Schizosaccharomyces pombe: one gene and its partners. The protein of the gene in region 2 interacts with the protein of the main gene of each other region in a biochemical or structural test. Each region holds a gene or a part of one and is shown on either strand. Other genes may lie near its edges. The genes, in order: sds23, ufd2 and dsk2.

Region 1 (9,849 bases), on a different chromosome or scaffold from region 2:
CTGGATAAATCGTTCCCTAAGCTGGGTTAATTCAATACCCGTTTTTGGTAAATATCTACTTCTTTCAGTTGAGGAAAGACAAAAAAGTCTCGAAAATTATATATCCTCTGGTATGATATTGATATTTTTACTGCTACTAACCTTTCATTCAGTTAGAAACTATTAAGGAAGCCTTGATGACCAGAACCTATAGAAATCCTTTTCTTATTTATTTAACTCGGTGTTTTTCTCTCTCTTGATTTCAGTATTGTTAGTATTTCATTTATCTACTACGTCTTTTGTTGCTTTGATGATTAGTCTTCATTCTTCTATAAAACTCAGTACACTTTTATCGAAAATAAAGCAAAAGCTTCAACATTGCATGCTACGAAGATTAGCAACGTTATCCATACATGAGTCAATCAGTATCTGAAATCTGCGGTGCAGATATGTAAGGTTTAAATAAGACTTTAAATTTCACAACTAAAGAATGCTGTGTTAAATTCAGACAAAGGAAAAGATGTAATACACTGAAATTCGGATATTATGATGAGTTCATATCAATTACTAAAAAATGCATTTTGATTTTTTTAATAACATACTTAAAACAGTTAACGGCTAGATTACAAATTAAATCTAAGCAATATTTAATTCTACGTACTCCGCACTAGGCCATTTATTCAAAAATAATTTTGGCTATGCATTAGCGGTGAAGAAGTTAGTATTGAAAGTGAATTAGCTAGGAGAAAGAAAACTTCTAATAACTCAAGCGAAACGAACTTCTGTTCTTTACTACTATTAATCAAATATATTACAAAAAATAAAATTTTATAATTCTATTTTAGAATAACTGTTTAAGCACATTTTGTTACGACAAGGCTTCTCAATAAAATACACCTTGAACCAAGTACAACGCTTATAGTAAACAATCAATTAAGATTTCAATAATTCCAAAGTTTAAATTGTATTTGAAATGTACGAATATTATTCTTCGTTTTCCATTAATTACCTTTCGTTTATTTGTATAAATTAGTCCACTAGTTTTTGCTTCGAGCGATGAATGTTTCACTGCACGACACCATATGCCAAAGCATAAGCATATTGCCATGAAATGCATTTGTATCAGTTGGAAGACGAATTAAAAAAGAATGTCTTTTGCAGGGAAGATCAAATAAAGAAACTTTCATGTTTACTTTTTAATAAGGATTGTCGTGTTCCAAGCATTGTGCTTTACGGAGTTGCTAGTACAGCAAAGACTTTTTTATTGCGGACCGCTTTTGATTTGTCAAAAGAAGAAAATGTTTGGATTAATTTGCAAGACTGTTTTACAGTCGCTCATTTCTGGTACCGGATCCTTATAAAAGTCGGTGTTGACAAAGATATAGCATTAAAAAAAGGCATTAATATCAGTGGATTTATTTATTTACTGGAACAGGCAATGTCCAAAAGGGACTATCATACATTTTTGGTACTTAGTTCCTCTCCTATTTTATTACTCTTAAATACTAATATGAGTTATAGGTGCTGGATCAAATAGATGATTTCGCTGAGGCTTCTACTATTCTATTCTCACAATTAGCTCAGCTTCCGATTGTTGTAAGTAAATATTTACAGACCCACTGATTAACTATTTTAGGCAAACATTCCCAATCTGTCAATCATTTTTGTACTTCATTCTCACCCTGCTCAATACTTGGGAACATTGTCTATTGCAGTGATTTTTTTCCCACAATATACCCAAGCGGAAATATTAGAGATATGCCAAAAAACACCTCCTAATTTAGATTTTTTGGATAGATCTGGCGATAGTGTTTTTGAAGACGAAATTGAGCTCAGCGTCTGGATGCAATATTGCTCGTTTCTTTGGAGTGTTTTTGGAGTGCAGTGCTTAAATGACTATAGGTCTTTTCGTAGTGTTTTGGATAGATATTGGCCAAAGTTCATTCAACCTATAGTTGAAGGAGACATACATCCTGCTGATTATGCTCAACTTCACAAGCTGGCTAAAAACTTTTTAGTGTCAGATGCTACGGTTACTAAAAGACTTCACATAATCAACCCGACTGAAATAAAAAATCTTCTTGATTCCAAATCTATTAACTTGTCGCTCGTTTCCAAATATTTACTCGTTTCTGCATTCCTAGCATCTTATAATCCAAGCCGGTTAGACGCCCAATTTTTTTCATTTTCTAAAACTTCGAAACGACGTGGAAGAAAACGTAAACAAATTCAAGATGAAGGGGTTTTATTTTCCAAAATACCAAGAACCGCTGGGAGCAAAGGCCGGTCTGCTGTAAAAATATCCCAACTTACATTAGGACCTAAACCTTTTGAAGTAGAAAGGTTGATTGCTATTTATTATGCCATTTCTTCCCCGGTAGAGAAAGTTCTGACCGCTGATGTTTTTGTTCAAATAGCTACACTCGCCTCCTTAAAAATGATACTTTCGGCTTCCAAAGGTGTGCTTCGCTCTTTGGATAGCCCTAGATACATTGTCAATGTCTCTCGCGAATATGTATTAAAAATCGCAGATTCACTTTCGTTTCCTCTCGATAGTTATTTGGCGGGATAGCTTAGTATTATGGTTTATTTTATTGCATTACTGAAATTTTGAATATCGTAGTTCTGTCACAATTCATTAATTTATACAGAACTATATGAACATCCATTCTATCTCCCCATAACATGTTATTTTACTGTTTAAAGGGCCCAAAACTTAAAAAACATATTTTTTTTTGTTACTTCTGGAAAATAAAAGAAAATGTACACTACAAACAATTCGATTACGCCTCTGTGATTCTGTGTAAACTGTTACGTATTTAACATTATGGAAGTTGGCAAAGCTGTAAAAAGCAAAAACTAGCGCCGAAAACACTCTTGACAAAAAAATAAAGTAATGTGCTGCTAAGATGGATACATAATATATATCAAGAGGCAAAGTTTCAATCATAACTCTGATATAAAAGTTAACCCTCTGAAAGAGCTACTCTGCTGCCGTGTAAATCAACAACGGGAGACAATTCATTAATAAGAACATATGTATAAAGAAAAGCGTCCGTCAGTTAACGTCAAAACATAAGTAAAAGTATATTTTTAATGGTTAATAAGAAATCATTGGAGATTTAACCAAAATCTTATCCATTTAAAGATGATTAAAAATAAGTATCAAAACCCGTTCATGAAATATGGAATGTTAGAGGTAACAGTAAAAGATGAAATAAAACGGAGGTTCAAATGAGAAAAAGAAAAAAGGGTGTTTCAAATCATCAAATATTTAGCATCACCGACGTTGTGTATCTACACTAGCTTTGCTATGGCTACGATGGCTGCTTGTGCTTCCTCGACGTCCATGTCTAAGCGAAGGAGCACTATGGGGAGCGGGTGGAAGAGTGCCTTTCATGTGAGCATATAAAACAGATATGATATCAGTTAAGCTAACAACGCCCAACAATTGATTGACCTTAACACCACCCATGGATCCAGGGGAAAGATGTGCGTTATTTTTTGGGGAAGGAGGGCAGGAAGGTGACTGCACAAGCCAAAGACGATGACATTGGGTAGCCACCAACTTAGCCAACGTAAAAGCAAAAGTAGAGGATTCATAGATGTTAAAAGCAGGAGCACTATCCTTACCAGCGCGGATACCCTGTTCGCTTTTAATGACACTCAAAAAGTGAGCACATGATTTGTTTAACAAATAGACAGAAGAAGAACGTGTAACGTATTTAACATCAACGAGAGATATGTTGCCAAGTAACCGGAATTGAGCATCGACAACAGCAAGTGAACCAATACCGGTTTGATTCATCTGTCGCAAGGCCGCGGCGACTTTTTGATCTCCAGAGATACAGGTGATGTCAGTGCTTCCAATGTCCAAAGAGTGAATTGTCCTGGACATTAGAGGCTCCAAATCGGGAAACGCACGAATATTATTCCACAAAAAGCGGATGATAGAGCGCTGAGAAGCCATAAAGCTCAATTCACCCTGTTCGTTAGTGACGGCAACACGACGAATACCGGAAGAAAGAATCTCAGCGAGACGTCCAAGGCTGGTGGTGTGAGGGATGGTGATAAAGTCATCCTTGTTTTTCCCGAGTTTTGCAACCTCATAAGCAGTAATGACTTTTCCAGCACGAATATCTTCAGCGACCTTTTTAAACCTGCCATCATTGAAATCATCAAAACCCACTACCATGAGCAAAAATGAGTTAAGATCTGCATAGTCAAAGGTCGTAGCAATCTCGTTGCTTCCCTTAGCAGCAACAATAGGCAAGGCGCTAAGATCTCGGTCGATCAAAATGGAACTTGCCTCTTCCATGGAAGTTTCCGGGTCTATGAGAGCAATTTCATTATCATGAAGAAATGTTACAGGGATATCTTGCCATTTATTTGAAGGAAGATTAGTGGGAATGGGAAATTGTGCCAAAAAATCTGAGACCGAGTTCACGCCAAAGGACTGACGTCCAGCGCTCGATAAAGAATCAGACGATTGAGTTGACAAAGGCATTCTATACAGTTTTCCAGTTAAAATCTCTTTCTTTCCTCTGCATACAACAAAACTTACTGTACCGTGCAGTTTGTCAAATCTAGGTCAGTGTGTGGTTCTGGATAGCGTTGAGGTAGGCAGTGACGGAAGTACCTAGTGATACAACGAAATAGGGGTACGCAGTGGTAAGGCTTTTTTAATCCACGACCTCTTTACCACATTAGACTGAGATCTCTGTAAATCCCGCCGTATACCACCGTCTACCTAATTAATCCACCATGTATGTGGCCTAGTTAAAAATTTCATAATCTGCGATTTCAGTATTTACATCACAATCAACCACTATTTCATTGCTTGCCCGCTTTCATCCCAGCAAGGTAAAACTAGGCAAAAAAATTTTTATTCTTTTTTAAAAATTTAAAAATTAAAATTAAACATAAGGATGGATTTAGTATGAGAGAAAAATAGCCAAGCGGTTAATCGGACGTTTTTCCTTGTTCATAAAGTGGGAAAGTGGGGCAGCTGCTCTAGTTGTAGATGCAGTGTAGGTCGGTTTTGCACAACAAAATCCTAATTTTGTCATTGCAAAAAGGCAAACAAAAATTTGTGTGCAACGATGAAGTGATTAGATGAAACGAGGCGCGCCTATGGAGCAATAAAGCGCTTTGTTTGTTAAAAATGCTTTTGAATTAGAGTTATGGATGAACAAAGTCAACACATTCATATGTACTAAATAATATTAAGACGCAGTATGAAACATACATAATTCAACGTTGCGATACCGAACAGCATCTACCCAATCTTGAAAAAAAAATTAAAATTTACTCTTTATGTTGTTTGATAATTTGGCAGGAGAATAGATAAGTCAAGTCATCAAGTAATTAATTTTATTAGTTAGTTTGAGAGTAATCTCGTACTGTAAGCATAATAATGCATGCTATAATATTGGGTACTCAGTTCTCTAATTATTATACATAGTACTTACACAGATGATCATCATTACCATTGCTTAGCAAAATTGGCAATCATAAACAACAGATATTTCTACCACTGCTATAGCGCTATACATCATTCGAATTTTGAGTGGACTTTTGCTCAAGACTTATTTGTCGAAGAAACGAATGAAAATCCACCCCTTCGTCTAATTTCTCTCCCCAAACATGGAGAAATCAAATCTATGTAATATAGGTTGGAGATGACCAAGTCAGCATTAAATGTTTGATCATCTCTTCACTTAGCAAATCCTATTGAATATCACTCAGTTAATCTCTTGTTTTGATCTTTTTCATTGATAAATGAGTACTAAATACATTACTGCTACGTATTGCTTCGTCTCATATAGTAACGGTGGCCAAATTTGAAGTGCGACAAAATACCATACTACTAGTAATAGAAATTCACATACTGAAACGTCAGATGCGTTTAATAAATAAAGCGCTTGTGTTTTGTTGGCAATTTGTGATTCAACGTGGTAATTAAAAAGTTTCAATATTGAGTAAATGGTCCGCTACAGATCACTCCGGGGAAGAGGTTATTGGGTTACGTAAAAAGACTCATGTGCTGTGGGAATAGCTATTGAAGAACACAAGGTATCGATTGTGTCTCACTCGACGTACCATAAGAAAGTTAAATGGTAAAGTGTGATATATGAAGTGAAAATACAACGTTACTATAATTAGCGGATCCAAGATGTCCAAATGATGATGATGATTGATATAGGAAATGCGATTATGTAGAAGATAAAGTGAATTTCCAAAATATCAAAATTAAAATCGAAAATAATCGAAATAACATATTGATATATATATGTAATTTGAGAAAATAAAATTTAAATATATAGGACACAAATAGACGCTCATCTAGTAGAAGAAATTCCAGCAGTCCAGTTACGGTTTGTAAGAGCATAAAATAAAGTAAATCCATAATTCATATAATAAGTTTTCATCTTGTCCTTTATTTAATTTTATTTTTTATTTATTTTTTATTTTTTTTTTTTAAATTTTTACTCCTTTCATTGATTAATTGTAGTAAAAAAAATCTACAAATTCATCGTCCATTTTATCCTATTCACTCGCAATTCTTTTTGGTAAAACACCCACGTGCGACTTTGTATTTGCTTAACGTACAAACTGCCAGTAGCTTAGTGTAAAAAAAAAATTAAAAAAAAAATAAAAAAAAATAAAATAAATCTATAAATGAATCATTACAAATAACGAATTACCAATTGAAAAATTAGTTAGAGTTTCTTTAATTGATCATTAATACATTATCGAATATTAAAATACGTTGGAAATCTGATATAATGCTGCGCACTTTATTAAACAATGAATTTCCACTAAATACCATAATAGCTTCTGTCTTGTCCTTGCTATGTAAACAAAGCTCAAGCCAAACAAAAACTTCAGGCGCATATTAAACAAGCACTTAACGTTTCGTACTAGATATTCTCTCAATTGAATTAATTGATATACGTTGTAAATTATTTCTATGACATGTACCTACCAGTCTTAAGCAGACATTATTAGATTTTGTCCTTTGTTTAACATATTCTCATGTATAAAATTTCTACATTTCTCTCTCTTTTTTTTTTTTTTTTTTAATTCACCACTTTGTATTGTAACATATTTACTTTCACTAAGTCGGCATTTTTTTTTTCCACATCATTAAACCTTACATCGCTTATAGTCGCTACCCTTTGGTCGGCCTTTCTACCCAAGACTTCGTACATACAGAAATCCTCAAAGACGCTTTTAAAGACTATAAAATTAAACAAGCATCCTTGTTTTTTCTGATATCTCATATCACAACATAATAATCTTAATTTCTCGAGTATCTTTTCTTGAAAATTTTTAATTTTTCTCATCTTTATTTTGTTGCTGCTTCAGCAAGCCAGTTATTAATTTTTGTTTAAAAATATATAAATATTAAATATTTATATATATTATTCCATCTACAAAGCATTACTTATTTTCACATACATATACATCTACCTTCATATACAACACTCACTAGTATTGTGTTAAATTTTATTCGTCCAATATCATTTTGCTACCCTGTTTTTGTGTTTTGTCAAGCATTTTATTCTTTGTTCTCTTTTTTTCCCAGATTTGTCACATTGAACCTACGTCCTTTCACGTTAACGTACTCGGACGCTTTGCTCAAATACTATTGAATTGCTCAATAACGTTATAAATTCTATATCCTTTTCTTTTTTCTTTGGAAGAATTTCGCTTTCTTTAATCGTTTAATCGGGCGCCAGTGGGTCTTAATACTGTGTTTTGCTAATAGAACCAATAGGTTCTGTCCGATCTCCTCTAATAACGTTCTTTTGATGATTTTCTCTTTTATTTTATTTTTTTTTTGTTTGAAAACTTAGTATAATATCCATCCTTGTTTTCTTCTTTTACACTTTGACTTGATCCCTACACTCTTTCTTTTTTTTTTCTACCCTCTCTTGTTCATTAGCTACTTAGGCAATTTTTAGCTATTGAAATTTATAATGACTAAGCGGCACTCTGGTACCCTATCTTCGTCGGTGCTTCCGCAAACAAATCGATTGTCCTTGTTAAGGAATCGTGAAAGCACCTCTGTGCTTTATACAATCGATCTTGATATGGAGTCCGACGTTGAGGATGCCTTTTTCCACTTGGATCGTGAATTGCATGATCTCAAACAACAAATATCCAGTCAGTCCAAACAAAACTTCGTCCTCGAGAGGGATGTACGCTACCTTGATTCCAAAATTGCACTTCTTATCCAAAATCGAATGGCACAAGAAGAACAGCATGAGTTTGCAAAACGACTGAATGATAATTACAATGCTGTAAAAGGATCATTTCCTGACGATCGTAAGCTTCAGTTGTATGGAGCGTTGTTTTTTTTACTTCAGTCTGAACCAGCCTATATCGCTAGCCTTGTTCGTCGCGTCAAGCTTTTTAACATGGATGCACTTCTACAAATCGTTATGTTTAATATATACGGAAACCAATACGAGAGTAGAGAAGAGCATCTTTTATTATCTCTTTTTCAAATGGTATTAACCACCGAATTTGAGGCCACTTCTGACGTTTTGTCTCTGCTTAGGGCTAATACTCCGGTATCTAGAATGCTTACAACTTATACACGTCGTGGACCCGGACAAGCATATCTTCGTAGTATCCTTTACCAATGCATTAATGACGTTGCTATCCATCCTGATTTGCAGCTTGACATCCATCCTCTTTCAGTTTATCGCTATTTGGTGAATACCGGTCAATTATCACCATCTGAAGATGATAATTTATTAACAAACGAGGAAGTTTCAGAGTTTCCTGCTGTAAAAAATGCAATTCAAGAGCGTTCTGCTCAATTATTGCTTTTGACAAAACGATTTTTAGATGCTGTTCTTAACAGCATCGACGAAATTCCATATGGTATTCGCTGGGTCTGTAAGTTAATTCGCAATCTGACAAATCGTCTGTTTCCTAGTATTTCAGACAGCACTATTTGCTCTTTAATAGGTGGATTTTTCTTTCTTCGTTTCGTTAATCCAGCTATTATTTCGCCACAAACTTCTATGCTTTTAGACAGTTGTCCATCTGATAACGTCCGCAAAACACTTGCTACTATTGCAAAAATTATTCAAAGTGTTGCCAATGGCACAAGTTCTACGAAGACACATTTGGATGTTTCTTTTCAACCTATGTTGAAAGAGTATGAAGAAAAAGTTCACAATCTTTTGCGTAAACTTGGAAACGTCGGTGACTTTTTCGAGGCTTTGGAACTTGACCAATATATAGCTCTATCAAAGAAGAGCTTAGCACTTGAGATGACCGTCAATGAAATATACCTTACACACGAAATCATTTTGGAGAATTTGGATAATTTATATGATCCCGATAGTCATGTTCATTTAATTCTTCAAGAATTAGGCGAGCCGTGTAAATCTGTTCCACAGGAAGACAATTGCCTTGTCACACTTCCTCTTTATAATCGATGGGATTCTTCAATTCCTGATTTAAAACAAAATTTAAAGGTAACCCGCGAAGATATTTTATACGTCGATGCCAAAACGCTTTTCATTCAACTTTTACGTCTTCTGCCATCGGGCCATCCAGCTACAAGGGTGCCTCTAGACCTTCCACTAATTGCTGACAGTGTTTCGTCCTTAAAAAGTATGTCATTAATGAAAAAGGGCATACGTGCAATAGAGCTTTTAGATGAGTTGTCAACCTTACGTTTGGTTGACAAGGAGAACCGTTATGAGCCTTTAACTTCTGAGGTCGAAAAGGAATTTATAGACCTCGATGCCCTTTATGAAAGGATACGTGCAGAACGTGATGCTTTACAGGATGTTCATCGTGCTATATGTGACCATAATGAGTATCTTCAAACTCAATTGCAAA
Region 2 (11,609 bases):
CGACCTAATTTCCTGGTCCATTGCCAAAAATTATTAAAAATTGGTCAAATTCGTAAATGCAAGACGTTGATTTTTCAATTTTTGTACAATTACTATCTTTTTAACACAGTAGAACCCAAACTGAAAACTACTTCACTCTATTTTTTCTTCTATAATTTTAAATCCTTCACAGGTAAACTATAAACACTAATTTTTACATTCAGTGCTGTTTTAATCGTTCATGAAGTAGCACTGATCCCGTAGCTAAGGAGTTTTGCTAAATAATTTTATATGAATTTTGAACGGCTGAGGCAATGAAACTTATCAAGCTTCTTTCATATTCCTTATTAATCGTTAATAGATATACGACAATATAACGCAATACGTGGTTTGTATGTATCTTGGAAGAGGGGGAGCATGCTCGTAACCACACCAAAGCCTATTGTTTACGTTTTAAAATTCGAAAGTATACTAGCAATTTACTATAAAATATTGTATAGATAAAAGCCAAAGGATTTTTTAAACATAATAAAAAGCTATAACTACTATCTTTTCCATCAGGTCGGTTTTACTGGGCTGCTCCACTTGTGTGTTTGCATAAATTTATAAAAGGAAAGTTGAAATTTAGTTCAATTGAATAGATTTTAACAATTCTTTTTACAATTAAATTACTCTAAGACGCCGCTTATATTTTCTTTTTGCTTTGCCCCCTATTTATTCGTTGCTTGAGTTATCAGTCGCCTTATATTTACATTGGTAGTTGAGATCGATTTTTTCAAAGCGGGCAATTCCTTGCGTTCACGAACCAATTATTGATATACTTGCAACAATTTTTTATTTTAAAAGAAATTTTTTATTCGACATTATGACTACTGAGCTCCGTCGTAAATTGGTTATTGTTGGCGATGGTGCTTGTGGTAAAACATGCTTGTTGATGTACGTTTGCCCTTTTAGAAATTCTATTCATTGTTATCGAGCTTTTCAAATGTGAATTTGATTTATCTAAACAACAATTGTGTTTTTAAAGCGATTAATCTACTAACAATTATTTTAGTGTTTTTTCCAAAGGAACTTTTCCTGAAGTTTACGTCCCTACTGTTTTCGAAAATTATGTTGCCGATGTCGAGGTTGATGGAAGGCATATTGAATTGGCACTATGGGATACAGCTGGTCAGGAGGATTACGATCGTTTACGCCCTCTTTCCTATCCAGACTCTCACGTCGTTTTGATTTGTTTTTCAGTTGATGCTCCAGAGAGTTTGGACAATGTTCAAGAAAAATGGATTTCTGAAGTTCTTCACTTCTGCTCCAATTTACCCATTTTGCTAGTTGGGTGTAAAGTGGATTTACGAAACGATCCAAAAACAATCGAAGAGCTCTCCAAAACCTCACAGAAGCCTATCACATTTGAAGAAGGACAGGTAGTAGCTCAAAAGATTGGCGCCTATAAGTATCTCGAATGTTCAGCGAAATTGAACGAAGGGGTCAATGAGGTTTTTGAGACTGCAGCTCGTGCTTCCATGCTTAAATTTAAGCCTGCTAGTGTACCGAAGACAAAAAAGAAGAAGCACTGTATCTTACTCTGATGAAATGCAATCTCTGTTATGGTGTATAAGAGCGTTCTATTAATTACATTCTGTATTGTTAGATTCACTATATTCATTTATCCTCTTGTGCAAAGGAATTATTTTACGAGCTTAACCTTTGTGGTACCGTACACCAAGTTTTTTATCCTTCGAATCATTACCTAATGAGTTTCCATGAATGTTTAAATATTTCATAGTAATTAATTGTCTAATCTTTTATTTAAACTTATCGAAGCCTTTCATTAAAAAACTAGTATAAACACAGTTATATTCATTCACTATTTCGCGAATGTTTGTTGCGTTTTGATTTCAGGAACGTGTTAATTTCCTCACGTAATGTATCATCTAAAGAATTAGTAACTAACAGTGGAAAAAAAAAACTTACTCGGTGTCACATCATCAAGCGTTAATGGAGTTCGATTAAATGGGTCGGTGGCATCACTTAGTAGATGTGCTTTAATAGTAGACCTATCAATCGAAATGCCAGATCTCGGTAAAACAACAGGATCTTTCATTATTGTAAACATAAGAGGATCTAAGAAGTAGTCAGGAATATCACCCATGTCTTCCTCTTCAGTAGCCTCTTGCAATCTGAATGCCTCTACCCTATTCACAAATTCTTTAATAGCTTCTATATCAAAAGATGACTTGAGGTTGTGCTTAGTCATAATGCTAGTCGCACGTTCAAATATTTCTTTACTATAAGAACGGCCATCGTGAGCAACAGCTTCGACAAATGCAGGTTCATTGCACAGGTTAAGATAAACATCGAAAATAATCGACAAAAGGGTTTTTGCATTAAAATGATATTTCGTTGGGTCCTCTACCTTGAGGTTACTACACTTAGGGCCACATAAAGCTTGAAGGTTATAGTTTAGCATAGCTGCCAACCGATCTACAATTTCAACGGCACAAAAGGCTTTAGGAATTGAGGAAGTGAACAATTTGAGCATAAAAATAGTTTCATTCCCTAACTGGCAATAAGTAGAAGCTTGACGTTCTGCGGCCGCTAAGTTGCTTTGCGATTCTTGAACATTCTGGTTAGAGTTGCTATTGCTTATTGCATCTGCCAAAAGGCTCTGAAGGTTGTGAATCTCGGTTAGTTTTAAAAGAGCCTCATCAAGAAGATATGTAGCATCATTAAGCATGAGAGCTACAAATTTAACAAAAAACGGCAAATTTGTTTTTTGCTCCTGCTCCAGCTTACCAAAATAGGCTGGTTGCTTCCAAATAGTTCTAAATACTTCGCATATATAGAAACGAATGTTGAATTTATCATAAAATTGGGTAGATTGTCCTGTAGATTCAATCTCAATATAAAACGCCATAAGTGCTGGAAGTAACCACCTTGTTGCAACCTTCGACGTACGTACAACATCTAACAACAATTCTGATCTTCCCACGTGCGTTTGCACTCCAAAGTATAAAATCTCGGCAAGTTTCGCTCGCAAATAAGGATTTTTGATATAATTAGCTTGAGTTAGAAACGACACACAAAATTCACACAAAGGCTCTAAGGAATGCAGCGTCAAAGTACTCGACGAGGTTTTAAATAAAGACAACATATAATCTGTAATGGTTTCAATAAAATATTCAGGTAAACATTTGAAAGCTTCCGGTGCATTTTCATTAAACGGTAACGATAGCGGCATTTTTGGATATGTCGAAGATTGACCATCAGCTAACCTCGATAACCAAATGGCAACGAAATTAAGAAAAGAAAATGATCTTGAAGTATCAGATGTCTGCGTAAGCATAATCTCATAACAGTGCACAAACGATCTATCTAAATCCAATCTTTGATCAAGCCGACTTAATTGAGCAGTGAGACGTGTCGCTTGAAAACTACCGCTCATATTTTGCTGTTCAGTCTCTAATCTTTCTTTCAGTTTCTCGCTATCACGAATTGATTGCACAAGTTGCTCTAAAGCCTTAAAGGTAGCATTTACACCATAATGATGAAATGCGAGATTTAAAAAAAATATGTCTGAAATAAAGTTATTGGAACCCTCGGCTGGTTTTGAATAAAACGATTCCGAAGCCTTTTGATCAGCATTCAATTTAGTCTCTTCTTTGATATCAACGCGAGGGTTTCTCCTAAAATATTCAACTTGTACTCTGTCAATTTTCGAACATCCTATGTCAAGAAATGGTTCAGAAAGTCTGCTTAACACATGTGAAAAATTTAGCATGCAGGCGTCAGATGTAATATCAAAATGATTAACTTGAATGGATTGTCGCTTGTGATTGGCATTTACCACCATGGCAAAGAAATCCAACACAGACTCTCTCAAAGATGTAGATGTTCGAATGAGGGTATTGAAAATTTGAAAAAGGACATCCTGATAAGTAGACATAGTCAATTTTAAAGAACTTATTGACGAAGATATATTTTGGGCTGATCTCTCAGTAGAATTGGAAAAATATCGAGAAGCGACATCTTGAGTAAACACTGACAAGCTTGATATTCTTCCAAGAAACGTTTTGTACTCAATTTCTCCAGCATTATTCGTAGGATTCCAAGAAGGCAACTTCGGCAAAAGTAATGCAATTGGTTTTAATGACACAAGTTGTAATATAATCTAAAAATATCAGTTTATGCTAAAAGATAAAAATTGATGTTCATACCTGCATCACATTCATTTGAACAGTATCTACATTCATAAGACCAATTTTCAAAGATAAAGATTCCAACACAGGAATAAACAATTCATCTAAGTTTTCGTGTTCAAACCTCTGAACAAATTCTGATAGAAATTCCAAAGGTATACCTTCTGCACCAATTAAAACCTCGGCCAAATCAATTGTCTCCGAATTGAATGTGTCAGGAAGCATTACTACAATACCGGCATAACTGACAAGCAAACTTTTTAACAGAGATAAATAGTGAATTTTAAAGTCCTGGTTTTCATCCTTCGGAAGTCTCTTTTTATACTGATACAGAAAACTCCAAGACTGTAACAAATAAGAGAAAGTATTGTTGCCAGTTGTTGACAGTCGAGAGAGTAACGCAGAGTCAACATTATTCTCATTAAATAATAAAGGGGATCCCTCTTCTTCTAAATCTTTTTTAAAACCTTCTAAATAGTATTTTGATGAATCAGTTTCACTTAATGTAATATTAAGAGCCTGACATGTTATAAAATGCATCCATTCATCCTTAGAAAACAAGCGATGTTTTGGAGCACCAGATGTAACAGGTGGAGATATTTCTTTTTGTTCTGAATTTGATGTTGTAGCCTTTGAACCAATAAATCTCTTTTTTAAATCAGGTTTTTTAGGTTCAGGTGCAATATTGCTTTCCTTAGGTTCTTTAGAAGAATTTGCCTCCGAATTGGTCTGCTGCAATTTAGCAAGCCTTTTAAGACGAATCTATGGGCCAATATTAGCAATTAGCTGAAATTTTTCTCTTACCTTTTCCAAATCACTCATAATGGGGTGGATTGAGCAAGTTGGTGGAAGTGAGGTCAACATATGTTTTAACTACCAAAACTTACTATGCTAAACCGGTAACATGAAATTGTATTAACATATATTATTTTTCTCGTTTATAGTATTTATCCAGCCAAAAACTTTCTATTTTAGAAATATTCTTCACGAATATTTGAGTTTCTGATTCGACAGCTAAAACGTTAAAATAGTCTTATAACAAATAGGCTTACCTGAAGAATACATGATCCATGGTGTTTTTTTTTCATGAAGTACACTACTAGAGTCTAACCAAACCTGCTTTCCTCCTATTGTTTTGTAAGAGCCGTCATTCTGTAAATGTGCGACGTTACGCACAAAACCATCAAGTAGGCATTTCAAAATTTTGGAACAATCACTGGATGGTAATCTTTGAGCAGTAGGTATAGAAAATTTATTTAAAAAACGAACCAAATGAGTGCGAATGTCAAGGGCTTGGCGCAAAGTTTGATAGTTCAAATAATTTTTCCTGCACCATTGTAAATCTTTTTTGTTACCGACAAAAGATTCAAAAACTAAATGTTAATACACTTTTAAACTTTATTAATGAAGCATACCATTTAATGCGGTAATGATGTCCCCTTCATTTGCAAAAAAAGAAGAATGGGCAACGAAGGCATCATTCTTTGATGAACTTGTGGGATTATAAAATACTTCGCCTGCTGTAAGTATTGAAGCAATTGAAAGAATTTCATGAGTGCAACCAAATTGGTTGGAAGTAAGTAACTAATGATGGGTTAGCGTGTACTTTATTTCCTATATGGGAGTACGTACAGCTTTGGAGATGTTTGCATCCAAGAATGAGTTGGAAATTTGTATGCCAAGTGGGTCTGTCAAATTTCCACTTTCGTCCAAGACACCTAAAAGATAGAGGTCCTTCAAAAAAATTAGTTGTTTGCCGGCTATAATAAAATTCACAAACCTCTAGAGCCGCCATAAGGTGAACTGTGGGAGGACGGACAAAAAAGGGAAACTGAAGTATGTTTTTTAGCCCTAAACCTTTCAAAAATAACACCAACGGTGACATATCGCAATTTAAGATGTCTGCTTCAAATTCTTCTTTCATCAAGCTGTAAGCTTTTTCAGTATATAGACGGAACACCTTTCCCCTCATTGTCCTTCCAGCTCTTCCACTTCTCTGTATAGCACTTGACTTAGATATAGGCACGTTAATCAATTTTGAAGTCCTTGTATACGGGTTGTATATCCGTTGTTTATTAAAACCTGAATCAACGACATAAACTATGCCATCAATAGTAATACTAGTCTCAGCAATATTCGTAGAAAATATAACTTTTCTGAAGTCACCATCATATATGTTAAAAACTCGCATTTGCTCGTCAACAGTAAGACCAGCATGTAAAGGTAAAGGAACTAAAGTTTGACAGTCTTCGGAAGCATGAATTAAGGAATCTTCAATCTTTTTTATACAGTATTCTATTTCTTTTCTTCCCGAAAGAAAAACCAATATATCACCAGGCGGATAGGTTGAATTAATGTTTATAACCGTTTCGATTGCAGAATCAACGTAATTTTCTGTAGGTTTCTGCAAAAATAATGTTTCTACGGGGAATAATTTCCCTTCAATTGACATAGTGCATACTTTATCTTGTCCGAAAAACTGAGACAGTTTATTCGCGTCAACAGAAGCGCTGGAGAGCACAAGTCTAAAATCATTCCTCTTTTCTAAAATCCTTGATTTGTCAGCTATGAATAGAAAATTTAAATACCTTTTCAAAACTCCTAGTAGGAGATCTGTCGACAAAGTTCGTTCATGGACTTCGTCGAGAATGACTATTGAATATCTTTCCAGCAAAGGATCAAAAAATATTTCATTCAAAAGGATTCCATCGGTCATATATTTTATTTTTGTTTTTTCAGAAACGTTATGATCAAATTGAATGCTATATCCACACAAACTTCCAGGAGGAGAGTTCAGTTCCAAAGATACTCGTTCAGAGACGCTCTTTGCTACGAGTCTTCTGGGCTTTCAAATAAGTTAGGAGGATGATAAATAAACAAAGTTGTGACTAACCTGTGTACATCCTATAATACCGTTTTGGGACGCCCATCCAGCTTCGTATAAAAATTGAGGGATTTCTTCAAGATTATTTTTAGTTTAATAAACCATCTAATCAAAATACTTACGAGTTGTTTTACCACATCCTGTGTGGCCTAACACTATAGTAATCTGATTTTGCTCTACTGCATATAACAACTGGTTTCCTAAATGTAACGTCAGCAATGTAAGGGTAAAACAGCTACATACTGTATTTGGTGATTGGTAATAGCTTTTTCTGAATATTTAAGGGTGTATTTGTAAGAGTACTAAGCGATTGGGAAATAAACTCATTAGGCATACTCTTGCGTAGAGAGCATCAAGTAAGTGGAAGCACTTTCATGTTACCACAACTAGATTGAACGTATTGTAATATTTATAAAAAACAGTATTAACAAAATTCAAATAAAAAATTATTATTCAAAATAAATATACTACAATAATTATCACGCAATTTGAGTAAAATCTGGGAAACCTCGTAACATTGGTATCTGTTAAAAGAATGGCTGCATGCACGGCCTAACTTAGCAAAATGTTTTTTAATCTTATTTTTACTAAAACACTTAGTCTTGAGAATTTTCACGATTTCCCATAATCGTAACTTCCAACAACCACTGCTTTCTCCTCCAAACATTGATTAAAGATCCGTTTACTTTTATAACTTCGTTTATCCACCAGCACTTATTACCTGGCTGTCCCCATAGCTTCAAAATTTTACTCAAAAATTCTTCGCTTAATGAGGAGCTCTCGACTGTTGTTATGATATACGACATTAAGCTCATTAATTTTGGCTCCTTTACTCTCTTGGCCCATTTATCGTTGTAGCGAAATCCACAATGCTGTAATGCATCAACTAGCGGTCCATCACTCAGCCCTTTTCGGATTTTTTTTTTGTCTGCACTTTCAAAAACGTCGTTGTTCTTGAAAGTTTGCTCTAATAAGTCGCTCCTGATTTTTTGGTCGACGGGCTTTTTATTTTCAGAAAATAAATAGATATTGCAACATTCTGTTAAGAATAAAACGAGGGTAGTATTCGATATAGGATTAAATGCAATTTTTGAGGGATAAGCATTATTACTTTTTTTAAATAATGGTAGATAGGTGTCCAAAATCCATTTACAAATGGAAGGGTCGATTTTGTGGCATTTGAAACATGATGAGACATCACCTCCCTCATGTTTTAAAAGCAGATGAAACCCATTAGGAAATAGAAGTGCCAACACGGTAGTTGGTAATATTGGAAGTTCAACGCGATCAATGACTATTAGTTTGCCCCGGATGTTGAAATGTATTTTTTCTGGAAAAAACTTTAAATTACTTTCCAGTGTATTGGCTAAAGTGTCAACCGTATTGATTCGATCAATTGGAACTGACATTTTTGTGTTCTATTTTTGTAACGATTATGTTATAAAAGAATGTTCATTTTTTATTTACAAGATATCACCAATGCATACTTGGCTTTTGGTAAAAATGTTAGGTGCAAATTTCTAAAGGATCGCCAATAGCGGAAGCTATCGGAAAGGTCTTACAAAATCTTTTACGCGCAATAGTAAAAACAGGTAGAAAAAGCCATTCGTCGGTTAAGAGAGCTCTTTGGGCATTCTTTGTTACGTGTAAAACTTTTTATTGTATTTTTTTCCATTTCAATACCCAACTGGTATATCCAAAATTCAGTCCACTAAAGTATGTCGGATTCTAATAAAAATGCACTACCATCATAGATCAACAAAATATATATTTAATAGTGACAGAGGTAATATAAATATAAAGATAAATAAGTACACTTATATATGTAACAGTTACTCAAAGCATTACTTTTCTTTCTGCGAATGATTGATAAGCGACAGTCGATTAAACAAAGTTAGGGCAATTCATAAACCGGTTTTATTATATTATATATAAAATTTTTACAAAAATGCTAGCACGAATATATCCCAACCGATCCTATGCATATTCGTACGTCAAGCCTTGGAGAATTTGGTGAATAAACAACCCGAAAGATTCTCCCCGAATTATTGGTGGCAGAGTCGGTTTTCTTAATTAATGCTAATCTCGTACTGATGTTATTAGTCCAAACGAGACCAAGAGATGGTATTTTGGGATTTGGATCTGTGTCATCCCATCCCGAAAACCATTGCGATTGATAATCTAAACTAAACAACCCAATAGCATCATAATCTCTAGGAATTCTATCGCTAACTTGGTTAGCTATGACAACAGCAGCTTCATGTTGATGAGCTAAAGTGCGTAGAGTCATAGCTAACTTTCCCAATTGATTTCCACGTTTGGCAATATTATCTAAATCTCTAAAATGACTTTTGGATCGGTTGTAACGGAGCTCAGCTCTGTAGTTGGAGGCGACACTATCCAATATAACCAACCCAATTTTATCCCGATTGAATAAAATCGGCAGTTGATACTGAATGATATGTTCTTGAGATTCCAGATCTGGGCATAATATAGTATACACCCTATCTCCTGGATTTTTTATAATTATGTCTTTCTTATCAGCTTTGGGATACCTTTCTGGTAAATAACGCGCCAGTTCAAATAATCGTTTTGTTTCAAGACCGGACTCTGTAGAAATGAAGACAGCTGCTTTGTTCATTCCTCCTAAACTGAGAGGTAGTTGAACCATTAAACAAAGCTGCATACAAAACTGTGACTTCCCTGAACCGCTTTCACCACATATTTCAGTTAACTGTCCTACTGGTATACCTCCATGTAGAGTTTCATCCAACTTTACATCGCCAGTTGTCAAATATTTCGAAGTGACTTTGGAAGCAGAACATCTTACTGGTTGAAGAAGGAGGGATATCTGCTCAATTAACTGTAATAACTCACTTTGACTACAATGTGTGCGTCTTTCTAGCTCAGTAATATCCAGCGTTAACAAATCAACCGTGCTTACTTCTCCTAAAGCTGTCAGTAATTCCGTCTTTTAAGATCCCGGTACAAAAACCCAATATTTTTTTTTTATGTGCAAGCTTATTGAACTACTAAACGCTTACCTAATTCAAATGCTGAAGCAATTTTCTCATCAAAGTAGAAATTGTCAACATAATTCGAAATATCCATCCATATAGTAGAAAGAAAGAAGATTTTTAATTGTAAATATGATATGTATAGTTTTTACTCATAAAGATAAATGAAAATTATATCCACACCATAGAATATTCGAAAGTTGATAGTTTTATATAATGAACAGCTTTGTATCCTACGATTGAATTAAATTCTCACGATTATTTAGAAGTAATAGCACGAACTTCTAACCCACTTTTTCGCAGAAAGAAACGGTAATTTATGTACCACTATAGAAGTGGTGAGTCGAAGATGTTGTACGCGAATTACAACTGACCTGCCAATACCTCTATGTTTAGTAATTATAATCCTTATGAGAAGAAGCCCCGCAATCGACGAATATTTATATGAACATTGGTTTTTATAGAACATTAGCATAGTAACCGCTTACACTTATTTTTTTAACATCTTCAAACCATACATCTATGAAAAACCCCACGTAATGATACACATACTTGCCTAACCACCATTCCTTAATTGATAATTAAGTTATCAAGATATGTGAAATTATATAAGCAGCATATCCAAATGTGTATTGCTCATTAATTGTTAGGCATTAAAATTCGTAGTATGGTTGAGCAAACGAAGTATAAGAAATGATGTTTTACCAATCAACCGACGATAATTCGCTCAGTTTACCAGCTACCAACAAATTTCTTAGTTTATGAATGCTTGGTTCAACATGAAGTAATACTAAATAGAACTTTGTTGAGATTTCTCAATAACAGACAAAATATACATGATACATTTTTCATCTCATGAAACTTCAACTGTACAAAGAATTAGGTAATAGATAAATAACGTACCCTAACGCTCGCAGATTGCACTACGGAGGCAGCTGAAATTCGAAGCAAGGGCAACTGTTTAAAAATTGAGTATTGTAATTGCTTTTGTCAACAAATCAGAATTCTTTGATAAGTTATCTGGCTTTATTAAAAATTAAAAGTTGCTCAACATAGTATTCTTGTCGCCTCAAAAATAATGGGCTTATAGTATCCTAAAATATGCCTTAAATTTTGAATTTTGAATTTTTTTTTTTTCAGTTTAACTACGGATCACGATTACTTCTTGTTTTAAAATGTATGCCAATTCAAGAAAAAGAAGCAATGTCGATGTTCATCGGCACCCTTATGTAGTTTATGGCTCCCCTTTTGATCTTGAGCCGTCCAGAATTAATCAAGGAGTTCCTGTTTGGAAACAAGAAGCCAGGGATGAGCGTAATAGAAAGAGATTTCATGGTGCATTTACTGGTGGATTTTCTGCTGGCTATTTTAATACGGTTGGTTCAAAAGAGGGTTGGCAACCTAAATCTTGGAAAAGTTCAAGGAATGAAAACAAAAGTGTGCATGGAATGACTATTGACGATATTATGGACGAGGAAGATCGTGCTGACCAAGAGCTTAGTAAAGTTTATACTTCGAAAATAAATACGATTG
Region 3 (9,714 bases), 1.2 Mb from region 2:
CAGTGGTACCCATTCGTGGGGAAATTCGTTTGCTCTTTTTCAATTACTTCTTTTGCTTTTTCTAAATATTCATTTGCTTGTTCAAGTTCAGGAGTTCCTTCGTATGCACTGTCAGAAGAAATGGATTCCAAGTCGTTCGTCGCATTACGAAGACGTACAAGAGCATCTGGCAACGCCTCAAGATGCTTCTTCAAAACAAATTTCTAGAGGTCCAGAATGTCAGTACTTTGATTATTTTTTATTTTAAAAAAGATACGCTAAAGCGGAAACCACCGAAAAGTATCTTCAGCTTGGTAGAAACATCTTCTAGCACAACACGTCCAACGTTTATATGGTTTCAACTAATGCAACATACCTGATGCTCAATTTCTGCAGAATCTTCCCCATTATCAATTTTACTTTGTACACGTTTCTCGGCCTCGTTAATATCGATATGAGCCAACTAAACAATTGTTGAGGTCAGAAAATTCCATCTACAAAATCGCGATCCAAAAAGGAAACTTACTTCTACATCTTTAATAATTCTTTTAACGACATTAGTTTTGATGACTAAGCTCCTAACAGTATTTGACATGGTAGAAAATAAAATGGACGCGATATGCAAAGGAATAATGTTAGGTTGGATGATTTTCCTTGACTGCAGTGTAGGTAACGTTGGAATACAAAGGAATGCTAATGTTAGCGTGTGGTGATAAGTTACGAGAAACGATTAAGAAAAGCTAGTTCTAGTTAAGTTTTCAATTTCTTTTAAAGCCCTTTCCTTAAATTCCTAAAAAAGGGTATTTGATTAAATGTTTGCATCAAGTATCAGACTAGTTATTGATCGACAAACGTTTCATTCCTATATTATGTATGAGATAAAATTGCTCAGTTATTTCTAAATTTACGATTCACCGATACTTGTACCAAAAATTTCATGCTTTTATGGATGCTCAATCATATGGGAGGTTGAGCTTTTCGGGATTCAGCTATATGAAAATTTTCTAGCGCGTAATTCATTATATTTAGACGTAATTGCTTTTACAAATATTTTCCAAAACAAAAATTTCTGATTCTCCGTACACACAGTTATCTCCCAACAACCGAAATTGTTAAAAGCACGATTTCATATAAGGATAGGTTGATTGCTAATCACTCGAACCACAGTCTGTTAATAATTAGTCAACTTTGCCTAGCCAAAAAAATTCAGCTTCTATCTTAATCCTTGGAAAACAAAAAATAAAAAAAGGACCTAATACCCTCTTTCAAAGTAGATCCTGTACAAGATATTTAGTCTACTCAAAAAGCCGGTACAACGATATTAATGTCAACAGACTTCGGTATAATGGGACCAGTCTTCAATGTGAGGATAATAGCTAAAATCCTTTACTCTATATAGGACTTTAAATGGATCCTTGAATATTATTCTGTTTTCTAAAATGATTGATCATATTCTACGCCACAGATGCATCAAAAATTCAAATCATCGCTTGGGAGATAAAAGAGTGAACGCTTTTTCATAATCGAACAGCAACCTTTCGAACCCTAGTAGTCATTAGTATTTTAATCCACTTTTTTTTTTGCAAAGCTATGAAAAACAAAGACTGCAACCTGGTATAAGCATTTTAAACATATCGTACTTTGCGTGATCTAACAAATTAATCTCTATCTTGTCAGTTCACAACTTTGGACAGATACAGATGATGAATTTCGACAATTAAACATTTGCAAACAAGTCAAAGCTCAACATACAAGCATTCACTGTTTAACGCTTTTTGAACTTTCTCATTTCCTGAAACGTTTGTTTACAAGCTGATATAAAAAAAGGGATTGAATTGAACGGCTCAGTTGATATAGATTAATTTAAAAAGTGAACTCCGTTTAGAAAGTATCGCATAAGTTAAAAAATGGTATTCAAACAAAGCTAACAAAAACGAAACAAATCGCATTTTCCCATGAAAAATACAAGGTTGTTCGGAAAACTGCATATTTGAACATGATGACAGCCAAGAAGAAAAATAGAAGGATTTATTAGAATTCCCTTAAACTTTTCATTATAGTCTTTTCGGTACGGTAACAACCATATATACAATCTATACATTTCTTCAGACCATTCAAATCTTAAAATGGAGCTCCCCTTCAATTGAAGAAACGGAAAATTTTTTCTTGTCAAATTTTTACAGACTACTAACCTACTAAACAGAACCTCATTAGTGGTAAAGTCCATTTTAATACTTCTTGCTTATTAATTCATTATTTTATTGCCGTAAAACATAAATTATCCTTTTATTTTCTTCTTCTTTTCTTCCCTTGTATAATACTCATTTTTCGCCAAGTCTCAAGTATTCCAGTGTTCGATTCCGACCATGGAAACGATCTCGGTCGGGTAAAATGAAGACTCTGGTAGTCTCCAGGCTATTGCATCTCGTTCAGATTTGGGTTGATCTTCTGGAACAATGCGGGCAACTGGTAGAACGTTAATGAGGGAACAGATGAAAAACTGGAAACCTAGATGCGTGACAGGAGAATCTGGTGTTCTTTTTTTTTGAATAAGTATATTTAATAGTTAACAATATCGAACATGGTTTTAGTTAAAAACCATGCAGAAACTACTGAACGCAATTAAGTTTAATAGTTCTTCTACTTACACATTTTTTCAACCGTTACTTTACTAGTATAGTCTGGAAATATATATATATAGTTATTAACATGTAACTATTACCTTTTTTAGATAATATTTAAAAAGACATTCTTCCCATCATCCCGCATCTTGACTGTACAATATAATACCGGTACTTAATATAATAGTAAGACGAACAGTGATTTTGAGCTTCTTTCGGATCTGATATTGCTATGGGTGGAAAAAGAAAATTTCGGATGGATTTAGGATTAATGCAGAAGAGAATTTGAGGTAATTGAGTATCATTTTCAAGCGAATTTTTGCAAAACGAAATTGTGTTGCCCTTATAGAACTCGCCAACTTTTGGTTCCTCTTCCGAGTCCAGTTCTTTAATCGCTTGCATCTTGATCGAGAGAAGCGAAATCATACCCCAAATGGCCAAAATCACTTGGCCATTTGTTAATTTAAGCTACCTTTGTCGTCCGACGCTCCCCTTCTTAATCATGGGATTTTATCCGTACTTTCTCCCCGGATTTAAGAGAAACTCGTAGTATTTCACGAAAAAAAAAGAAAAGATGAAATGAGTTTCCAATTTATAATAAATGAATTGTCATTCTCACATTTATGAATTGGATTTCTATATTTTGCGGGTTACACTATTTTGACTCCTATGTGTGTAGCCTAGTTTCTCGCAGTTATTCATTCAAACTTTCCACTCAGCCATCACAATACCCGATATTATCGGTTTGATGGATCTACTAGTGTCACTCGAGTAAAACGACCGTTTTGTCTATTTGCGCTATTTTTTTCCTCCTTTGCAAATCGTTTATTTACACATATATTTTTTCCAACAACACTATTTAGGACTGCTCTTTCTGTGTGTCAAAAAGAGGAAATTTTTTGTATAAAAGCCTTGGGTCCATTGCCACAAAGCAATTTTTCTTTCTGGTTGCCAAGAGTGCCTTCTCTTACTATTAAAAATCTTTCGGAAAAAAATTTTTGCTTTTCATCTAATCAAAAGCTATTAAACCGGTGTTCATAAATTTTACTACCACTTTTTGTTCGCTAAAATATTTTTGTGGGGTTTTTTTTTTCTTAATAATTATTACATCGTTCGGTTTTTTTCATATATCTCATAATGACTTCTATGTTTTCTCTTAAAGGTAAAACCACTCTCATCACCGGTGGTTCAGGCGGTATCGGATTTTCGATTGCTAAAGCATTCGCTGCCGCTGGATCTAATGTTGGTCTTTTGTACGGTCGTAACAAAAAGGCTCTTGAGTATGCTGCTGAATTACGCGACAAACATGGTGTTCAAGCCAAGGCTTATTCTTGCCCCATTGAGAACCGTAGTGCTGTAATTGAAACCACCAACCAGGCAGTTGAGGAATTGGGTGGTCGTTTGGATGTAATGATTGCTAATGCTGGTATTGCGATTCCCCACTTATCCTTGGAAGATAAGAATGAAGACATCTGGACCAAGGTCGTGGGCATAAACCTGAACGGTGCTTATTATACTGCACAGGCTGCTGGCCATCATTTTAAGAAGCAAGGAAAGGGCAGTTTGATCTTCACGGCTAGTATGAGTGGTCACATTGCCAATTGGCCTCAACAATGGGCTTCTTATCATGCTACCAAGGCTGCTGTCAAACATCTGGCTCGCGCTCTTGCCGTTGAGTGGGCCCCTTTCGCTCGTGTCAACTCCGTGTCTCCTGGCTACATTGACACAGATTTGACTCTGTACGCTGATGAAAACTTGCGTAAGAAATGGAAGGAGTATACTCCTCAAGCCCGTATTGGTCTACCTGATGAGCTTCCCGGTGCTTACTTATACCTTGCTTCCGATGCTAGTTCCTACTGCACAGGTAGTGACATTATTGTTGACGGTGGTTACTGTTCTCGTTAATTTCTTTACTATTAATATTTCCCTCTATAATCATAATTAAAAACTTGAATTTTTGAACCTCCCTTGAGCCTATAATCCAAAACAGCTACGTCAAAAAGGTTCTTCTTCTGGATCTGTTTCATTTTTAAAACATTTCCCCTCTACCGTACTCATTTTGTTGTTGGAGCTTAGATCTCTACACTCATGGCAGCATGTAATTTGAATTGGTTTTTTTAAAACAAACTGCTATTCTATATGCTTCCTCTCCCGATTTGTCGTTTTGAAGTTTCTAATGCTTTTTAATTATCATCTAACAAATCTAAAAAGTTTTATCACTATAGTTAACATAAACACTGTGTATGATAAACTAACTCTTTCTTTCTCTAACTTGCATAAGCACACCTTAGTAATACTACATCGCCGAAGTTAAAATAAATCAACGGTATGCTATTCTTTTTGCATGTTTCAGATGGGTTATTTGTACAATATATCGAGGTAGAATAATTTTAATTATTTAATGCCATTTCCTTGCTAGTTTTCTTTATCCTATAGCTCATGAGTACATTCTATGTCTTTGAAACACTTGATAGAACAAAGAAGAATTTTTTATTTTTATTTCATCTTCGTTATGTAAATGATTACAACGGTATCTAAAATGTCTTATTGTTTAACAAAAAAATCCCTTAATTTCTAAGTCCAGCAAAGCATTCAGCTTAAAGCTACGAGTAAAAAATACCTGCCATCTTCATATTAAAATGGACGCTCCACTAGTGAATGAATCGGTGGAATTCCAAGAATCTCAAGAGTCCTTAAGTCTCTTGGAAGCCTCCAAACAACTAGATTTAAAAAAAATTCAAAATCTAGTGGATCAGGGGGCAGTTACTTCAGCTATCGATATCGAGTCTGGCAAAAATGCTTTACATTTTATAGCCTCATACGCTGAGAAGGAGACAGAGGTTCAAGCTATTGAAGTAACGAAATGGATCCTTTCTAATGGTGGAGTCTGGAATGGTATTGATAGAGCTAACGAAACTCCTGGATGCATTGCACGTCGTAGGAATTTATTGCGCTTGTACGAAACAATCGTGGATGCTGGAGTTCGATCAGAGCTATTACTTTCTCTCTTAGAGAGGAAGGAACTTACAAACGAACAATTGGATACTAACGAAAAATACTTGCAAAGTGCACTCTCCTATACGCAACCTACAGAAGACAGTTCAAGCCTTTTGGATAGTGATGCAAACGCTGTTATGATGAGTTGGGAACGAAAAATAATGCATCGTTCTGCTGAAATTATTGCACCAACCAAGGGCCGCCGTGTTTTGAATGTCGGCTTTGGTCTTGGAATAATAGATACGTTCCTTCAGGAAAAGGAGCCTTCGCTTCATGTGATCATTGAGCCCCATCCGGACGTTCTGAAACATATGCGTAAAAACGGTTGGATGGATCGTGAAAATGTGATTGTATATGAGACAACTTGGGAGAACGCTATTAACGACATTGCGTCTAAATACGTTTTCGATGGCATCTACTATGATGCTTTCGCAGAAAGCTACGAAGATCTTCGAAACTTCTTTGATTCAGTTGTTGGTCTCTTAGATCCTGAAACAGATTCCAAGTTCTCCTTTTTTAACGGATTGGGCGCCGACAACCAAACATTTTACGATGTTTACAAAAAATTGGTCCCCATCGATCTTGTATCGTTCGGGCTTCAATGTACATACGAATCCATGCCCGTAAGTAGTAAAGACGAGGAATGGAAAGGCGCAAAGCGTCGATACTGGGATGTTTCAAAGTATTTCTTGCCCATTGTCACTTTTGATTTTTAAACTTGCTGAACTATACGCTTGTCATCGGACGGAACTTTGGAATTTAGTTTTTGGGACTAAGGATAAACTATCTTAATACAATTTTGTCTATATCATTTTATTATTTGAAATTCAACTTTCATAAGCATAATTAAGTTGTAATGTTAAACAGACGTATTTTTCTTTTTTTTTAGTATCTTAAAACTGCTATCGTTTATTGAACATTATAAATCACTGAAGCGTAAGTAAACTGACAATTTAGAAAAAACTTATTTTTACACAACAAGTAAGCTTTCTATCTAGGAGAAGCATATATAGAATTCGTCATCGTACTTAAATTAAACGACTAAACATATTCATTCAAATCGATTAATATGATCATCGCGATAAAACAGAGTACGATGACTTTCCAGGTAAAGTCACTAAAAGTCTTGTTCAGGTAAATCTGGCAAAACTTGCAAGCATGGCATAATAATCTAAATATCACCAAAAGATTGGGCCGTATAAATTTTATTACAAAAGGAAAAAGGGAAGAGGGAAGTCTTGATACAAAGGGTATTATCCTTGAAATATATGAACACCAATAAGCCTGATTGATATATTCTAGAAACGAACAAAGGAATTAAAGATCACTCAACAAAGATTCAATAGCACCTTGCACGTTTCCTCCACTTCTTCTTAGTGCTTGAACGTTACGCTCGAAATCCACAAAGCCCATTTCATTAAGCTGGCTCAATTGCTCAGCATAACGCTCTTCTGGAGGGCGAGTATCTTGAGCAGGAGCTGGAGGAGAGGCAGCTCCCCCAAGGCCAGCTCCCAAACCGGCGTCTCCCAAACCAGCACCGAAGCCAGCTCCTCCCAAGTTATTTAATAAATTTTGAATGGTGTTGGCAGCAGCAGTTTGATCAACAGGTGCGGCACCTGCAATACCAGCTGTAGCATTATTAGCCCCTCCAAATCCACCTAAACCAGCTCCACCTAAACCGCCTAAGCCAGCTCCTCCTAGACCACCCCCCATTAAGGACATAGGGTCAATACCGGCAGCACCCATTTGTTGATGTAGTTGAGCCATTTGGCGCATTGTGTCGGGATCAGTCATCGCGCGACGGAACTCAGGGGACTGCATCATTTGACGGACATAAGGAGGTGCATTACGAAGATGCGGGCTGCTATTAATAATCATATCCAACATTTGAGGATTTGAAAACATCTCATTAATAGAAGACTGCACCATAGGATTAGACAACATATTGGCAAGCTCTTCGGTCGAGGGTGGAACAGGATTCTCAGGATTAGGACCAAACATAGATGCTGATGGCATAGGGATATTAAATCCAGCGTAACGAGCGCTAGTTAAATTGGCAAGAGGATTATTAGCACCCTGACCTGCTTGAATATTCGTTGGAACTTGTTGAGTGCGGTCCGATACATTCGTGGCGGCGGCTGCAGGATTTTGTCCTAAGGTTTTTACCAAATGTATACTATGTCCATCTTGAATTTTGTATGTTTTTAATGACTCTTCATCTTTCAGAACGCGACCAGCGTAAATCAGTCTTTGTCGTTCCTTCTCTATATCAGCTACAGGCGCAATGGCTTCCTTTAATGCAAGTACAGAAGATTCACTATCAACTGTAACTGCGTACTTTTGATCATTTGCCGCCTTAATAGTCAACGATATATTGGTCATGTTGTTGGGTTTGGTTAGGTATTTTCCACTCGTTCGATGACGCTCTTATGTAAAAGAAGTATCTTCGGTGAGCTTCAGTGGACCCTTTCTTCAGGTCCCAAAAACTCCGAATGGTGACCCAGTTCTCCGTTTTGGTTACCGACGTCTCCGAATTCACCGAGTTGTGACCGAACGCCATAAACATTTCACTGTCCTGATACAACTTTCAGCAAGACCCAAATCAATGTGTAAGTGTAAGAGGCGGCAAAGCTGGTCCCTTGGAATTTATTAAAATTTGCTAACAAAATCAATAGCTTTCAACCCAGGTAATAACCAGAATTCAGGGTTTTCATTTGGGAAACCTGCGCAGCCGAATTCAGCTGCGCAAGGAGCAGCAACTCCTGCGGCGACTGGCTTGTTTGGAAACACAAATAATAATACCTCTTCTACAGCGCCGTCTGGAGGCTTATTTGGTTCTAATAACGCGAGTAACACCAGTGCTCCCAGTACCTTTTCTTTTGGTAAAGCAGCGACTACAGGCAACTCAACAAATGCATCAACGAGTTCACCTTTTTCGTTTGGGTCTACTAATACCAACAATACTGCTGGGGCTAAACCTCTTTTCGGAGGTTTAGGAAGTACCGGGTCTGCTAACTCTACTGGTGATAAAAGTAAAAACACCGCTTCTTCTGCTACAGGTGCAGCAACTACTAATCCTTCAGGTAGTACTTTTAATTTTGGAAGTTCAAATAATTCTTTTAATTTCGGTAAACCCGCTTCTACGACTAATACGACGACTCCGGCAGCCGCTAGTACTGGTTCTTTGTTTGGGAAGCCTGCTGCTACAGGGACTACAAGCAATGCCCCTCCAGCTTCTTCTACTTCTACGACACCTGCTACTGGAAGCGGAGGTTTTAGCTTTGGAAAACCTGCTAGTTTAGGCTCTACTAATAATGCATCCACTTCAACCACTGCTAATTCAGGCTTTAGCTTCGGAAAGCCTGCAACTACTTCAGCTCCAGGATCTAACACTACTGTCACCCCCAGTAGCTCCATTACGGGAACCAATGACTCAAAGCCTGCTGCATCTAACACTGGTTCTGCTCCAACTACTGGTTTCTCTTTTGGTAAGCCTGCGGGCCAAGCAGCTTCAACCGCAACGGACAAAGGTACTACCACCACATCTTCAGCTGGTACTGGATTTAGTTTTGGAAAACCTGCAACTACAGAGGATACTAATAAACCTACTGCTCCCAACTCAGCTTTTACAAAACCGGCTACTTCAACTGGTGATAATAAGCCAACATTTTCTTTTGGAAACACTTCAAAACCTACGGAAAATACTAGCACAACAGCAACTTCAGCTCCGCCACTTTCGAACAATACGAAACCTGCAGAAGGTGCGAATCAGACTAGCTCTGGATTTTCATTTGGTAAACCTGCAACTGATACTACAACATCTACTTCAAAAACCGGTCCCCTTTTTGGTAATAAACCTGCCGATCCCAGCGCCAAGCCGGGCGCTACTGCCTCCACTACTCCTTCTGAGCCTCCTCCATCTTCTATCAAACACAAAACTCTTCAGGAAATCCTTAATAAATGGTCTACTGATTTGACTACGCAAACTGAAGTTTTTAATAAGCTTTGTGACCAGGTTTCTGACTGGGATAGAACTTTAGTAGACAATGGTGCTTTAATATCGAAATTATACACTGAAACTGTTGAAGCAGAACAGATGTCAAACCGCATTGATGAC

Evidence for each region.
Region 1: the proteins of ufd2 (region 2) and sds23 form a complex in vitro, tested with the Schizosaccharomyces pombe proteins (one study listed by BioGRID).
Region 3: the proteins of ufd2 (region 2) and dsk2 form a complex in vitro, tested with the Schizosaccharomyces pombe proteins (one study listed by BioGRID).

Annotation. Positions count from the first base shown.
Region 1 is NC_003423.3:945,518-955,366, reverse strand, and holds sds23 (protein sds23), read right to left. Parts: upstream 4,591-9,849; 5' UTR 4,544-4,590; intron 4,488-4,543; 5' UTR 4,487-4,487; coding exon 3,260-4,486; 3' UTR 3,075-3,259; downstream 1-3,074. Other genes in the region: Pex16 family peroxisome import protein, read left to right, coding at 1-110, 153-166; origin recognition complex subunit Orc5, read left to right, coding at 1,091-1,447, 1,501-1,575, 1,616-2,551; GTPase-activating protein Gap1, read left to right, coding at 7,965-9,849.
Region 2 is NC_003424.3:2,121,851-2,133,459, reverse strand, and holds ufd2 (ubiquitin-protein ligase E4), read right to left. Parts: upstream 5,020-11,609; 5' UTR 4,998-5,019; coding exon 4,980-4,997; exon of another isoform or gene 4,972-4,979; intron 4,938-4,971; coding exon 4,194-4,937; intron 4,148-4,193; coding exon 1,951-4,147; intron 1,911-1,950; coding exon 1,837-1,910; 3' UTR 1,747-1,836; downstream 1-1,746. Other genes in the region: family protein ICE2, read right to left, coding at 1-21; Rho family GTPase Rho5, read left to right, coding at 845-915, 1,034-1,565; gih35 (ATP-dependent RNA helicase), read right to left, coding at 5,101-5,189, 5,228-5,548, 5,591-5,759, 5,808-5,909, 5,956-6,727, 6,764-7,020, 7,069-7,133, 7,182-7,259 and 1 more; whi2 (phosphatase activator), read right to left, coding at 7,656-8,468; rad57 (DNA recombination mediator, RecA family ATPase Rad57/Rhp57), read right to left, coding at 9,011-10,008, 10,104-10,170; gpl1 (Gpl1-Gih35-Wdr83 complex RNA-binding subunit), read left to right, coding at 11,252-11,609. UniProt on the Schizosaccharomyces pombe protein: E4 ubiquitin chain-elongation enzyme specifically involved in polyubiquitin chain assembly.
Region 3 is NC_003424.3:3,368,008-3,377,721, reverse strand, and holds dsk2 (UBA domain protein Dph1/Dsk2), read right to left. Parts: upstream 7,996-9,714; 5' UTR 7,980-7,995; coding exon 6,915-7,979; 3' UTR 6,338-6,914; downstream 1-6,337. Other genes in the region: tubulin-specific chaperone cofactor A Alp31, read right to left, coding at 1-203, 356-442, 506-574; SPOM_SPAC8E11.08C (uncharacterized protein), read right to left, coding at 1,904-2,206; SPOM_SPAC8E11.12 (uncharacterized protein), read right to left, coding at 2,718-3,026; SPOM_SPAC8E11.10 (sorbose reductase), read left to right, coding at 3,738-4,505; rmt2 (N-methyltransferase), read left to right, coding at 5,240-6,313; nucleoporin Nsp1, read left to right, coding at 8,203-8,206, 8,273-9,714. UniProt on the Schizosaccharomyces pombe protein: Protects ubiquitin chains against dissambly by deubiquitinating enzymes thereby promoting protein degradation.